Linked DNA regions of Saccharomyces cerevisiae S288C. Changing the gene in region 2 together with the main gene of any one other region gives a genetic interaction. Each region holds a gene or a part of one and is shown on either strand. Other genes may lie near its edges.

Region 1 (4,353 bases), 500 kb from region 2:
CTTGTTATTTATAAAAAGACACGGGAGGGGGAATCCCGTCTTTCGTCCGTCGGAGCCAAAGAGATGAGCCAAAGCAGAAAAACAGGGGACGCCGCCCTTCTTCCGTCCCGTGCGTGAGGGGGGCGCGGCCATTCGGTTTTTGCAATATGACCTGTGGGCCAAAAATCGAAAAAAAAAAAAATAAGAGGCGGCTGCGGAATTTTATAAGACAAGCGCAGGGCCAAAGAAAAAATAATAATTGACGTGGCTGAACAACAGTCTCTCCCCACCCCTTTCCAAAAAGGGGAATGAAATACGAGTTCTTTTTCCCAATTGGTAAATATTCAACAAGAGACGCGCAGTACGTAACATGCGAATTGCGTAATTCACGGCGATAACGTAGTATTTAGATTTAGTATAATTTGAACCGATGTATTTATTTGTCTGATTGATTTATGTATTCAAACTGTGTAAGTTTATTTATTTGCAACAATAATTCGTTTGAGTACACTACTAATGGCTTATTGTTTGGCATTTGTAGCGGCAGTCAATTGCGCTTGTTTGATCAAACTTTCCGGAGCATCAAAGACGGGCAGTTTCAGTTCAATTAGTCTGATCACCGAGTTTTTCTGGAACTCTGAATCAGTGGTTAAGGCATCCCACTCACCCGTAGTGGCGATCTTGTGATTTTCGTACTTTTTCGCACCAAATGCGGGCAACAGGGCGAGGTGATCCCAGGTCTGGATTTCGTTGTACTCTGCGTGAGGCCCATGAATCAGCTTTTCGATAGTGTAGCCGTCGTTGTTAAGGACAAAAAGATACGGCTTTAACCCCCATCTGATCATGGTGGAGATTTCTTGGACGGTTAACTGCAAAGACCCGTCACCTATGAATAAGATGACTCTCTTGTTGGGGTCAATCTCCTCAGCGGCAAAGGCAGCACCTAAAGTTGCTCCTGTTGTAAAACCGATGGACCCCCACAACACCTGCGAGATACCGTAGGCGTCCTTAGGAAAGATAGTTTGATTGATACCGAAGGCAGACGTGCCGGTCTCGGAAATGATAACATCACCTTCTTGCAAGAATTTGGACAATTCGTTCCACAACCACTCTTGTTTCAAGGGCGTGCTAGCAGGTACACCTTTGTTTGCGGGAGTTTTGGTTGGTACGGGAACGCTCTTGTAGCCCTTAACAACATCGGGAATAACCTTCAGTAAGTTTTGTAGTGCAAATTTCATTTGTACACCGAGGAACGTAGCGTTCTTCACCTTTACGTAATCGGAATGAAACTCCACTACATTTTTAGTCTTGTAGGAGTAGGAAAACGAACCTGTGTTAAAATCAGAGAGCAAAGCACCGACCGAAAGGATCAAATCAGCCGACTCAACGGCCTGTTTCACGTCTTGTTTGGACAGCGTTCCCACATAAACACCGCCATATCTGGGATGCTGTTCATCTATTGACCCTTTACCTAGAGGTGTCACAAAAGCTGGGAATTGCGTCAAATCAATTAACTTCTGGGTTTCTTTTTTAACGTTGTGCCTAGAAGCACAGGCATCCGATAGTATAACAGGGTTTTTCGAATTCTGGATCAATTCTAGTACGGTATCAATAACTTCCTTTTCAGCTTCGGGATCGTTAGGTTTTAATGATAGATCAATCGGTTTTTCCAAAAGAGAACCAGGAACCTTTAGATCTACCAAATTCGCTGGCAACCCCAAGTAGCTAGGCCTTTGTGTTATAAATGTTGTCCTGATCAACCTATCGATTTCTGAAGGGGCTGTAGCAATGTCTGTAATCATTGATGTAGTTTCTGAGATATTGGCGGACATTCTGTGAAAAACGGTAAAATCACCGTTACCCAAGGTATGATGCAACAACAATTGCTTAGCCTGAGCGGAGATAGAGGGGACACCAACAACATGCAGTACACCGACGTGTTCTGCATACGATCCTGCAATACCATTCAAGGCGGATAATTCACCTACGCCAAAAGTAGTTACCAGCACAGATAAACCCTTGATGCGTGCGTAACCATCGGCGGCATAGGCGGCGTTCAGCTCATTTGCATTACCAGCCCATCTCAATCCATCTACCTCGTAAATCTTGTCCAATAGGGACAAGTTGAAGTCGCCTGGTAGCCCAAAAATGGTGTTAACATTAACTTGCTTCAATCTTTCAAATAAGTATTTTCCAAGAGTAATTTCAGACATTTTGTTGGCAATATGTTTTTGCTATATTACGTGGGTTTTTTATTTATACTGTATATAAAAGAGGACTGCAATAGCACAAGATTAAGATAGAATGGCTTCAAACAGCCGCCTTTTATACATATTGGTAAAAGCTCGCGAATCGCACCATATCCCTTATCCTGTAATCAAATCGATCTAGGTGCAGATACAGATCAATTCATAAAAAGAAATTGAAGCACCAGTTTATCACTACTACACTATCTTTTTCTTTTTTTTTTTTTTTTGCGAAGTTTCGCCCTTTGTTCAATATCACTTGATAAGTTGTGGGCTTTTTCTGTCACTCATTCGGCTTAAAAAGTATTCGTTCTTTTGTGTTTTATGAAAAGGGAACGTGATATAAAAAAACATCCTTTGGTGTGGGACATGGGCTTTTGTTTAGAGAATGGTTATCACTACCGCCCCCACCCTTGAAAGCCACAGAAAATGAAAAAGTATGTGAATAAGGTGTGAACTCTATAACATTTTGGCCAAATGCCACAGCCGATCTGCATATTCCAATGGACATAATGCAACAACAATTGATGTCACATTCTCTTACACACTTCGATTGGTCCGTACGTAGTACTTTTTACATAACTGACTCAGGCGTTTCCTTCATTGAAATGCTCATCTATTGCCAAGTACATAGAATCCACAGTGCATAGGTTTATGAGATGCTTGGAAGATGTACGATCGCCTGCACTATATTAGTATATTTTTTCAGGCTTTACAAAACCAGAAAGAAATTACCGACTGTAATACTTAATTTCCATGATTTTAATCGTATGGTCCGTGAGGAAAGAGGAATTTTAGGTAAAAAAAAACCTTTGTCTATCAAAACATAAAAGAAAAGAAAAAAATTAAATTGAATAAGTCAGCTTTTTAGCATGACCACAGTAATAATAGTAATACGATATCAGCATGAGCTGCTAAACATTAAGAATTTTTGAATTGTGTTCGCTGGTAAGAGAAAATAGGGTAGCATTAGTTGCGAGATGGAAAATTAAAATATGCGTCATAAGGTATTTTCGACGTTGAAGATTAGGGGTTGCAAGTCCGAGAACTAAACTGCCTTCACGACGTCAAACTTATTGTATGGTGACAATAAAACGAATTCAAGAAGCCAGAGATGATGAGGAACCGATGACGAGGCACATGGGGATAGAACCTCCGTTATCTCCATTCCGCGTTGAGCAGCTCTCCTGCGTGCTTTCACAGAGACCCTAAGCCAAGACCGCGGACGGCCCTCTTTTTCAAGGGGATCACCGGTAAGGGGCCAAGCGGTGAAATTGCGTATTGTTTCCTCCTATCAATGATGAGTACGTCGCCGATCCAGAAGGGTTATTATTGTCATTGCCAGTACTATTCGTATGCTGAAAAAGTATAGTTCACTTCACCCTCTGGCTGCAGGCTAGCCTAGCCGATAATGCCCCCGACTCCCTCAACAGGTAGAATTTGTAAGGATTCGACGTAGCCTGGACACATTGTGCATTTATCGTATCCCCTACTGCTACACGTATAAGAAGTCGTTGCTTTACCTCTATTCCAGAACTCAATCTTGTCGTTACTTGCCCTTATTAAAAAAATCCTTCTCTTGTCTCATGCCAATAAGATCAATCAGCTCAGCTTCACAAATGAACGTGTTCGGTAAAAAAGAAGAAAAGCAAGAAAAAGTTTACTCTCTACAAAACGGTTTTCCGTACTCTCATCACCCATACGCTTCTCAATACTCAAGACCAGACGGCCCTATCTTACTGCAAGACTTCCATCTGCTGGAAAATATTGCAAGTTTCGATAGAGAAAGAGTTCCGGAGCGTGTAGTCCATGCCAAAGGTGGTGGTTGTAGACTGGAGTTCGAACTAACAGATTCTTTGAGTGATATTACATACGCCGCTCCATACCAGAATGTGGGTTACAAATGTCCTGGTCTTGTTCGTTTTTCCACCGTTGGTGGTGAAAGTGGTACACCAGACACTGCAAGAGACCCAAGAGGTGTTTCTTTTAAATTCTATACCGAGTGGGGGAACCATGACTGGGTCTTCAACAATACTCCCGTCTTCTTCCTCAGAGACGCTATTAAGTTTCCCGTATTTATTCATTCGCAAAAGAGAGACCCTCAGTCTCATCTGAATCAGTTTCAGGA
Region 2 (4,329 bases):
TAAACCTCATTTTTGACTAAGTATAAATAAACTATAATCTGTGATTGACAGAACGCTGCCTCCATCTATATTAATGATTGATCAAGAGAAAATGTTCTTCTTCCACCCTTTTGTGAAGCATTTAGAGATCAACACTAACTTTCTTCAACTTACAATAATTTCCGGGTGCCCCCATTTATCGATTACCCGGATCCGCTTTGCATCATAGTGTGTCGTTGTCGAAACAAAAGCGCCGTATTATTTGGTCAACGTTTAATAAAGTAAAAGCAGCATTTGAGATGCTCTATACAACCTTCTTAATTGCAACCGACATAAAGGTATGTTTTTCTCTTCTTATTATGACAAGGGAAACTTGAAGAAGAATTCGTGTCTTGCCATAATTTCAGCATCATCGTCTCAACCTAAGCCTCTTCTCACGAAGGCACGCTCAAATATCTTTCTGGCTCTAAAAATCTTGAATAACGAACCGAATTTACCATCTTTCCTGCTTTTTTATGCGTCGAAAAAAAGTAAAATAACCGCCCAGATCACGAAATTGCATATAAAAGGCGATCTCCCGTCCCACCGTTATTCTTTGCGATATAGACTAAACGGCGGAAACTTTATGTGTAGTATCATAAACATTCAACAATGGTATGTCTAATAAAACCATCATGGTACACAGGACTGAACACTAACTTATAGACGGGTGCGTGCTACCCTCTTCTTATTATTAGGGGCCAAAGAGACAGACAGTATCACTCCAAGAGAAAAAGAACCGGATTCTGAACTTTTTTCAAGAGACGTACACATTCTACAACATCAAGGAATTAGAGAAAAGCATACCTAAAAAATGCGGAATCTCACCCATGATCGTTAAAGATTTAGTGCAACAAATGATTGATGAAGACGGCGTCATTTCGGTGGAAAAATGTGGTAATATTAACATCTACTGGTGCTTTAAAAATCAGACACTGCAAAAATTGTATGATTCAAGCGAGTTGATAAAAAAAAAGATACAGGAAGTAAAGTGTGATATTGCCACTTATAAACAAGAACTAGACAAAACGCTAGCAACTGGAAGGCGTAAAAAATTTACGGTAGGCCAAAAATCATACAATAGGGAGGCTCTACTGGAAAAGAGAAAAAAAATTCAGGATGAAATTAAGAAAAAGAGTAATAGTCTCCAAAAAATAGAAAGCATTAGATGGGATGCAGCAAAAATACAAGAGAATAAACAACAGATCCGCCTAAAAAAAGTGCATCTGGAGAAAACTACTGATAACATTGAGATTCTCATTGATTATTTATACAAGAAATTCTTTTTGAAGCCAGAACAGATAAGAAAAGAATTTGGAATTCCAGAAGAGTTCAAGGAATTTACGGAGGTTTAACCTTCATGCACTATACACGAAAGAACAAAAGTGTCTTGATTATTACATCTACATTTCCAGGCATAGAGCTTGCAGATTAGCCGCCCATAAATTTGCCACACTGTTTTCCGTGGCGCCACAGTCCGCGTTTGGTTATCCGGCTGACTCATTCTGACTCTTTTTTGGAAAGTGTGGCATGTGCTTCACACAATATAATTCCCGTGAGCACAGCATGCTTCGGGCCGAAGTCTGTTGGAGGCATATGCTCCTACCTTGGAAGACTCATCGCATCTCAAAAGTGTGTAAAGGGGCCTTCTGGCCATATATCCTCTGAGACCTGGTTGAAATGTGGCCAGAAGCAAAGCTGATAAAAACAACTGGCGCATACGTAGCTATATTTTAAATAAATAAATAAATAAATATATATATATATATATATATATATATACATATATATACAGTCATTGCCACACATCCCATAGCTCTGTGTGCTTACAGTTCATTAAAAACAAAAAATATCAAGCAAACAACAAAAGCATAGAAGCAAAAAGATGCCGATCAAGAGATTAGATACAGTTGTGGTAAATACCGGCTCTCAAAATGACCAACATTCAGCCTCCGTGCCACCGGTGTATTTGTCGACTACCTTCAAAGTGGACTTGAATAATGAAGATGCACAGAACTACGATTATTCCAGATCGGGAAACCCGACCAGAAGTGTCCTTCAACACCAGATTGGTAAGCTTTATCGTGTCCCACAGGAAAACGTATTAGCTGTGAGCAGTGGTATGACGGCGCTAGACGTCATCCTGCGTGGGCTCGTCTTACTTAACGGCACTGACAACCATACGCCAACAATAATAGCCGGCGATGATCTTTATGGAGGCACCCAAAGGCTGCTGAATTTTTTCAAGCAACAGAGTCATGCAGTCTCTGTTCATGTGGACACTTCCGATTTTGAAAAGTTCAAAACCGTTTTCCAGTCTTTAGATAAAGTTGATTGTGTTCTTCTAGAGTCTCCGACCAATCCGCTTTGCAAGGTTGTAGATATCCCTAGAATATTACGTTTTGTGAAATGCATATCTCCCGACACTACAGTTGTCGTTGATAATACTATGATGAGTGGACTCAATTGTAATCCTCTTCAACTGAATCCAGGCTGCGATGTCGTATACGAATCTGCTACCAAGTACTTGAATGGTCATCACGATTTGATGGGGGGTGTTATTATCAGCAAAACACCAGAAATAGCCTCGAAGCTTTACTTTGTCATTAATTCTACAGGAGCTGGATTATCCCCAATGGATTCTTGGCTACTTGTGAGGGGCCTAAAAACTCTAGGAGTTAGATTATATCAACAGCAGAGAAATGCTATGATATTGGCTCATTGGCTAGAAAATTCATGCGGATTCAAACCTACCAGAACAAACAAGGCTACGAAAACTAGATTTGTTGGATTACGCTCCAACCCGGATTTCAAGCTGCATAAATCGTTCAATAATGGCCCAGGTGCCGTGTTATCCTTCGAAACGGGGTCCTTCGAACATTCAAAGAGACTGGTCAGTTCCAAAAAACTGAGTATATGGGCTGTGACGGTATCTTTCGGGTGTGTAAATTCGCTTCTATCTATGCCTTGCAAAATGTCCCATGCTTCCATTGATCCCGAATTAAGGAAAGAGAGAGATTTTCCTGAAGATTTGGTTCGTCTTTGCTGCGGTATCGAAAATATAGTAGATTTGAAGAAAGATTTATTAGCGGCGATGGTTGACGCTGATATTATAGAAGTAAGAGAAAATGGCAAATATCTTTTCAACAAATTGAATAAGAACCTAGCTGTGAACACTACCATCGATGACCTGCATAAGCCTTTAAGTATTTACGAAGAATTTTACAATCAAGATCTCATCAGAAAGGACTCAGAATTGAATATTAAGAGTTCGAAATTGTAAGGGAAAATATGCATGTACCTTTTTTTTTTTTTTTTATAAGGTTCAAATCCAAAGATAGTAACTTTAAATAGTCAAGTATATAGACAGAATTTCAAGAACAGTAAGTATATTAAACTTTTACAGCCTTTCGGGCTGTTCCGTAAGCTCTTACTACTACCCTTGGGAAACGCACGCGCGAAGGAGGAAAGTTTGCCTCAATGAACGTGTGTAATGGCGGTCGTAAAAGGAATATAGAAATAGCTGTGCTTTTATAACTTCACTCGACAATGGGTTGACAGCAGATTTAGAAGGAAAAGAGCATACAAAAAATGTGCGATTCTCCTGCAACGACTGGAAAGCCTACTATTCTTTTCATCGCAGATCCGTGCGAAACATCAGCCACACTTAATTCCAAGGCATTCAAAGAGAAGTTCAGGATCTTGCGCTATCAGCTGGACACCAAAGAAGCATTTCTTAACTTTTTAGAAAGGCATGAACAAGACAAAATATGTGCCATTTATGCTGGGTTTCCGGCATTCAAAAAAATCGGTGGGATGACTCGAAGTATCATCGAACACAAGTCATTTCCAAGGAAAAATTTAAAATGTATCGTGCTTTGCTCAAGAGGTTACGACGGATGGGATCTGGATACATTACGCAAGCATGAAATTCGATTATACAACTACCAAGACGATGAAAATGAAAAATTGATAGACGATTTAAAGCTTCATCAAGTCGGTAATGATGTGGCAGATTGTGCCTTGTGGCACATTCTGGAGGGCTTTAGAAAGTTCTCCTATTACCAAAAACTTAGTAGAGAAACTGGAAATACATTAACTGCAAGGGCGAAAGCTGCAGAAAAGAGCGGATTTGCTTTTGGCCATGAACTGGGGAATATGTTTGCTGAATCACCAAGAGGAAAGAAATGCTTAATTCTTGGTTTAGGAAGTATTGGAAAGCAAGTAGCCTACAAGTTGCAATACGGGCTAGGAATGGAAATACATTATTGCAAAAGAAGCGAAGATTGCACAATGAGTCAAAACGAAAGC

Evidence for each region. Genes that interact genetically often act in the same process or in processes that back each other up.
Region 1: mutations in STR3 (region 2) and PDC6 together harm fitness more than expected from each alone (negative genetic interaction), as found in Saccharomyces cerevisiae (one large-scale study listed by BioGRID).

What each region holds. Positions count from the first base shown.
Region 1 is NC_001139.9:650,790-655,142, forward strand, and holds PDC6 (indolepyruvate decarboxylase 6), read right to left. Parts: upstream 2,193-4,353; coding exon 501-2,192; downstream 1-500. Other genes in the region: CTT1 (catalase T), read left to right, coding at 3,845-4,353. UniProt on the Saccharomyces cerevisiae protein: Minor of three pyruvate decarboxylases (PDC1, PDC5, PDC6) implicated in the nonoxidative conversion of pyruvate to acetaldehyde and carbon dioxide during alcoholic fermentation.
Region 2 is NC_001139.9:153,587-157,915, reverse strand, and holds STR3 (cystathionine beta-lyase STR3), read left to right. Parts: upstream 1-1,903; coding exon 1,904-3,301; downstream 3,302-4,329. Other genes in the region: GTS1 (Gts1p), read right to left, coding at 1-10; MND1 (Mnd1p), read left to right, coding at 631-633, 717-1,373; YGL185C (putative hydroxyacid dehydrogenase), read left to right, coding at 3,610-4,329.